2 linked regions of the Saccharomyces cerevisiae S288C genome follow. The protein of the gene in region 1 interacts with the protein of each later gene in a pairwise test. Each region holds a gene or a part of one and is shown on either strand. Other genes may lie near its edges. The genes, in order: RHO5 and TRR1.

Region 1 (3,359 bases):
CAAGCTACAATTGGGATTGAGTATGATGGAATTGCAAAGAAGACTTACCGAAGACATAAAAAACCAAAAGACGAATGGCGCTGAAAGAACAGGAAAAAATGTTACCATTACTATGGTTCAACCTGGAACTATGAGATCAAATAGCCTACGCCGCGTCATTAGTAATGGTTCGGTGGTATTGTTAATAATACTTTACTGTATTCTGTTGTACCCCATATTGTGGCTGTTTACCAAGAGTGGTCGTCGTGGTGATCAAAGTTTCTTGTACGCTTTAATGACACCGGAATTGGAGGAAGTAAACTTAAAAGACACGAAGGTTAAGTATATCTCAGACTGTTCAATTGTGAAATTTGCTCGTAAAGAATTTGATGACGAGGAATTACAGAAGAAACTATTTGATAATACGGAAAGAGATATTTTACAATTGGAAAAGAAAGTCGCGGCAAAGAGAAATGCCAATAAGACCGGGAATCAAAATTCTAAAAAGAAGAGTCAGAACAAGAGTAGAAAAGATGATTAGAAATGAGAACGTAAATATATGTGTAGATTTCTTTTTTTCTTATTTATGATATCGGTATATGTAATTATTTATTTACTTTTTCTGCCTCCTTGATATTAAAGTATTACACACTTTGACTTCTTTTTCTTCTTGTCGTTTCTCGTCTTTGGTTTAGCTTGCTTGTTGTGATGATTATTTGAGGCAATTTTACTACCTTTGCTTTTTGATTGCTCGTGAATTTTGTCTTTTTGTCCCTTTTTTGTGGGTTTGATATTGAGAGCTTCCTTCTCCTGCTGTAAGCTTCCTTTCGGAAGAGTACTATCTGTACTATTATTATGGTGTGGTTGCTGTTTTTGTTCTCGAATATTTTTATCTCCATTGGTGTTGGTTGTTGCAGTCGTTAATTCATCAGTTAGAGTATGATTTGCTGATTTTTGGTTAGGGGATTCTGGTTCGTAGATAGCGTACCTCACCGCCTGTTCAAAGACTTCCCGGACACCTGCTTGGGTAGCAGCTGAACATTCGGTATAGCCCATAAACCCACATCTTTGTACGAGTTCATCTATTTCCTCTTGAGACACGTAATCGGAGTTTGCTTCCTGCAATTTTTTCTGAGTTGCCGGATCATCTCTTAGGTCACTTTTGGTGCCTACCAATAGAATTGGATACTTCCCTAATTTAGTATAAAGAGAGGTACCTTCAATATTGGAAGTCTGCTTCAGTTCAGGTAGCCATTTTTCTGTGACATTGGCAAAACTAGCATGTTCGCTTACTGAGAAACATATTAAAAAAATATCTGTTTGGGGATAACATAACGGTCTTAAACGATCGTAATCTTCCTGTCCTGCAGTGTCCCATAAATTGATTTTATATAGTTTTCTGTCCGTACTTGGTGAAGAACTGGCAGATGAAAGTGAACCTCTTTTATCATTACCATTGTCAAGCTCTAGGGGGCTACTCGCAGTTCCGTTCGGGATAGCTATCGTAGTAGAATAATTATCAAAAACCGTTGGAACATAGTCTGTTGGGAACGAATTGGTAGTATATGATATTAGAAGTGACGTTTTACCTACTGCACCATCACCAATTATCACACATTTAATAGACCTCATCAGACTTATTAGTATACTATATTGTATTTAATAAATATTTCGGCGTGTGCTTTGTGGGTGCCACCTGTCTTGTATTTCCTATCCAACTGAATATTCTGGATATTGTCTTGTGCAATAGACCGGAAAAAAAAAAGTGAATGTTCCAACGCTTTGGAATACAATGATGGGTCAAGGATCGTGCTTTTGTTCGTTGGTGGATCGGCCGTACGTGTTTAGTGAGGGTACTATTTAAACTTACTTTAAATAGCAAAATAGGAAAAGCTACGAGAAACTGAAAAGTAAAAAAAAAAAAAAAAAATAAAAAAAAAAGAAAAAAAAAGGAGAAACATGATTGCCAGTACTCGCAAGAACTAAGATAGAGAGAAAAAGGACGATATATCAAGAAATAAAAGGGAAGGTAATTCAAGTAAGCACTGCTTAGCTGTCTGCATAGGAGCCTTCTGCAATTACTCATCTCATCGTATTCGTCATAACCCGTTACGTAACTGATTTGACCAAGAAGCGTAATGAAAATTTTGAGCGGACGCCGAAACGTTGTTTTTTTTTTGCTTTAGTCCAGATAATAACCTTTTATAATTTTCTTTTTAGGGAGGAAGACCGGTCTAAGCTCTTAGAGGTTCTCGCATACCCAAGTAAAAGCTAAGACCGAAGCAAACACGCAGGATAATTTTCCGGTTTACTCTCACTGCAGCTTTAGTATAGATGCAGATCTGGTATTGAGAGAGGGGGGCCGGAACGAAAAGATTCAGGGGAGAGAAAGGCCCGGGCGTCGGGGAACAAAACCACTTTTGCACACCTTAATTTTTTAGCTACTCTGTTTCTCCGGGCTTGTATGGCACATAAATAAAATTCTGCTACTTTCCATTATCTGGTCATCACTTACCGATGTGGAGAGCCTTGCCCTTGAAAAATAAGATAAGACCTCCGATTAGGGTATTTGAAATTAACCGCTGTAGAATGAAATAAGGACGCTTGTTTGACATTTTTTAGTTGCTTTCTCTATCTACCACCATTTGCATCTTGATTTATGTCTTGTTTGAGGAGATTTCGGATAAATATTCTTCGAGGGGAAAATGTCGTAAAAATAAAAACAATAAAGAAACAAAACGATTAAAAGAAAAACTCAACCATCCTCAAAAGTCCTCCTCTTTTTTTTCACGTGCTGCGCTGATGTAAGCAGCAGGACATGGCAGGAAGAAAATCGGAGAATTGTGGCCGCGACACCTGACAAACAATCCTCAGGCAAATGTAAAATTGTACATGAAAGGCTGCGTAGTCAATGTCTTAGAAGGCCGGCCCGCATGATCCAGAAGCAGACCATAAAAAAAATAAAAATTCGCGGTCTGGCAGCAGGCATAAGATGCATAGCGTTATCCTAAATGACATCACGATGATAAATCCTCCGCCGCATGATGCTTTTGATTTGCCTAAGGGCCTGCCATCGTGCTGGCTCAAACTATTGAGGGTCAACATACCTTGAAAATCCAAGTAAAAGGATGGATATCGTTATACTAAAAGCAACACAGAAAAGGTCCACGTCAGTTCCACACAATAACATTTACGTAGTGTTCACGCGAAGCAGTTACATCTCAACTAACATAATTGCTGGTGAGCCTACAACACTGCATGCGTAAACGTCAACGGGATTACGTTAGTATTTTTGGCCGCCGGTAAATTCTCTTGTTTTTTTTTCTTGATTTCACTTCTTTTCATGTTCCTTTGGAATAATCTAATTCCTCATGATTAAA
Region 2 (3,529 bases), on another chromosome or scaffold:
ATAATTTCTTGGTGTAAGATAGCAAAGTCGCCTCGGACATGATAAGGGAATACTAAGTTTTCTTGTGATTATTGCAGTTTAAATTCACTTAGTTGTCAGTAGCTGTAATATCAGATGCTTTATTATAAAGTTTTCCAGAAGAATGAATGCAACAGAGTTTATGTTTACTGAATTGTCTGGTCATGAATCATTTTTTAGAGAGTCAATCTGCGTAGGTTTTTTTTTCCTTTTGGCAAAGACGACAAGAAAAATGCAGGTGGGGAAGCGCAGCAATAATATTAGTCATAACTTAATAGTCGGTGTATAGGCAACCACGCGTTACAAAGTAAGCCGATGGCCTATGTCATGTGTCTAAAAAGTTTAATTCAGACACGCAATATATGTAGATTATGTATTGGCTTTCTCTAATAATGGGGAAAAGAAATAAAATTCATGGTTTGCTTTTTATTAAAGAAAAGGAGAAAGTAACGATTTGTTGGATAAGTATACAAAAATTTGAGTGTATCTATTTTATAATGGAAAATTCATCTATTCTAGGGAAGTTAAGTATTTCTCAGCATCCAAAGCGGCCATACAACCAGAGCCAGCAGAAGTAATAGCTTGTCTGTATTTAGAATCCTGAACATCACCAGCAGCGAAAAATCCTGGAACGGAGGTTAATGAGCTGCCTGGGACAGTTTTAATGTAGCCCGCTTCATCAGTGTCGACTTGGCCAGCGACAATCTTTGTTGCTGGAGTGTGGCCAATTGCATAAAATAAACCGCTGACTGGCAAATCGGTTTCTTCATTCTTTTTAGTGTTCTTAATCCTCAAGGCATTCAATAATTTACCATCCCCCTTAGCTTCTAGCGCAACAGTGTTGTAAAGGATTTCAATTTTTTCGTTCTTCTCAGCACGCTTTTGCATAATGGTAGAAGCACGCAAATGGTCTTTTCTGACAAGCATAAACACTTTTGAGCCGTACTTGGTCAAGAACTGAGCTTCTTCACATGCAGAGTCACCACCACCAATGACGGCCAATGGCTTGTTTCTGAAAATGGGGACGGCACCATCACACACGGCACAGGCAGAAATACCTTTTTGCCAGTAGGTTTCCTCGCCCGGCAAATGCATTCTCTTAGCAGAAGCGCCTGTGGCCAAGATTATAGCGTCAGTCGTCACAGGTTCTGCGTCTTCGTTAAATTCGGTCCATAGCTTGAATGGTTTGGAAGACAGATCAACTTTGGAAACTGTTTCCGTGATAATTTCAGTGCCAAACTTCGTGGATTGTTCTCTCATTCTGTCCATCAGTTCGCTACCTGTTAGACCATCTGGGAAACCTGGGAAGTTTTCGATTTCTGTAGTGGTGGTTAGCTGGCCACCGGCAGCAATACCGTTCGCCATCATACCTTCATATAGGATTGGCTTGATTTCTGCCCTGGCCAAATAGATGGCGGCGGTGTGTGCAGCTGGACCTGAACCAATGATAGTAACTTTGTTGTGAACCATTATTGATAATATGATGTTTACTTTCGTACTGTTCGCTATTTGCTGTATAGCACTTGTAGGCAAGTATAACTGAACTACAGAAATTAATCTACAAGCTCTTGAAACCTCGAGCAGTTGGGTCCACTCTTATACGCGTGGGCATTTTTTCCTTTTTCGAGATACTTGCGGGCGATTTTTTTTCTCCATGACTAAGGAGAAGCTAACCCAGCCAAAACCCGCCCCCAAATGGCTAGGCAAAGTGAAAGATTATTAATCCAGAACAGAATGAAACACTTACTGCCGTACTGTATACTGAAGCGTTCACAGTGAATACATAATAACTTTCATTATTAATATTAGTGTGACAAACTATATGTGTTTGTAGCTGTTGCGAATGCAAACAAGACATAGACGGTTTTACGTAAAACTGGCGCTAACTATAGTTGGGTACTTTTACACAGAGTACGAACGTAGTATTCCTATTGGGAAAAAAGGGTCTCGCAAGGACTATCCCAAGAGCAGAGTGCATTGTTTAAATATAAATGGTAGTACTCCGTAGGGAAAACTATGTTTGCGTTTCACCAGACAACAGTGATGTACGTTCTGTCACTAGTTGCGCTGCACTGTCTTCTTCAGGACTGTATAGTTCTCTTTCCAGTTCACGTAGTTGCATATCAGTTGCATAAAGGATATAGTATTGGTAGAAGTATATCAAATCAAACGCAATTGTTCCAGCACTTCCAAATATAAAGGGCAACTCATTCACGATGAATTCCCTCTTGTTCTGATTATCTAAAAATCTACAGCTTGTGAAGATGCTCAAATTATACGTGATATTGCAGAGTAGTGTAGTAGCAAATAGGAAGGGAGATAAGCCGTCTGTAGACTTTCTATTGTAATTCTTGATTAGTTGTGGGATACGTGCGCCTACGTAGAAGGAAGCGCCAATCCAAGATAAAATTGTACCCAGCTGGCTGTTTTTACCATCTCCGGGAGGCCCCACTTGTGATTGGGTGGAGCCTACATTTAGCGGATATGCGCTAGCTGTACTTATAGTATGAGCTATAGCCAAGGCTGCTGTAATGGCAGACCTTCTTCTACTGCTTCTAGGGCTTTCTGCACTGCTACCACCTTGTATCATGTCCTCTTCCTCCCTCAAAAGCTCACCATTTTCAACCAGTTCGGGAAGAAGAGGTTTAGGCTCATGGCCGACAGTCGCCAATTTATTTTCATGCAGCACGCCATAGTAATAATATTGACCACATACAAAAGAATCATTCAATAGAAAATAAATTGCTAAAAGTATCTGAAATAACAATTGCCCTGTTAGCTTTGCCCCTATCAGCGAGGTAATATCCCCACATAACCAAGCCAGCAAAAAATATGGCGATAGCCCATCGACAGATTTATCTCGATAAGTCTCAATTATTTGTGGAAACAATGAAATAACAGAGGTGAAGAAGGATAATGATCCGCACAAATTAGATACAGTAGGCCAGATGCCGTTTGAGCACGACATGAAAAGATTCTTATTTTCACTTTATAATTTTTAGCACCGATAACAACGAACCTTATCGATTGATATCAATAGATACTGGCTTAAGGTAATGAAAAGATTGCTTCTTTATTTGTCTTTGTTGGAGACGAATATTAATGCCTGCAAAAAGTACTTGACGTTTATGTGCACGTTTACGTTTGTTTTTTTTTGATCCCTCCTCAAGCGAAGAGATATACTAAAAGATATACTTAGTGATAACACTGGTACCTATTGTCACTACAAATCACTGAGCGAAATCTTTTTTCTTCGCGAACAATTTCTTCCATGCTGCGAAATTTTGCAGCACGTAAGTGAATGCCGTAGAAGCTAGCAAAAAAAAATGGTGATGAAAAGGTTAATAACAAAACACAATAAGGGCATTAGTTCATTGTTTATTAAAAATATATTATTATATTAATCGAAAGTAATTTCTGTATGTATGCATTTATAAGTTTCAGAGTGAAAATGAACTTAAGAAGAGATAGTCTGGTCACCAAACTTTTAGTACGTGCCACATACACGCTA

Evidence for each region.
Region 2: the proteins of RHO5 (region 1) and TRR1 interact in binary tests that used the Saccharomyces cerevisiae proteins (3 or more experiments, as listed by UniProt).

Annotation. Positions count from the first base shown.
Region 1 is NC_001146.8:299,039-302,397, forward strand, and holds RHO5 (Rho family GTPase RHO5), read right to left. Parts: upstream 1,612-3,359; coding exon 616-1,611; downstream 1-615. Other genes in the region: PBR1 (putative oxidoreductase), read left to right, coding at 1-520. UniProt on the Saccharomyces cerevisiae protein: Small GTPase that negatively regulates a MAP kinase branch, downstream of SLT2, of the PKC1-mediated signal transduction pathway.
Region 2 is NC_001136.10:1,181,258-1,184,786, reverse strand, and holds TRR1 (thioredoxin-disulfide reductase TRR1), read right to left. Parts: upstream 1,489-3,529; coding exon 529-1,488; downstream 1-528. Other genes in the region: TRP4 (anthranilate phosphoribosyltransferase), read right to left, coding at 1-40; YPQ2 (Ypq2p), read right to left, coding at 2,033-2,986; SBE2 (Sbe2p), read right to left, coding at 3,527-3,529. UniProt on the Saccharomyces cerevisiae protein: Central component in the thioredoxin system. Reduces thioredoxins 1 and 2.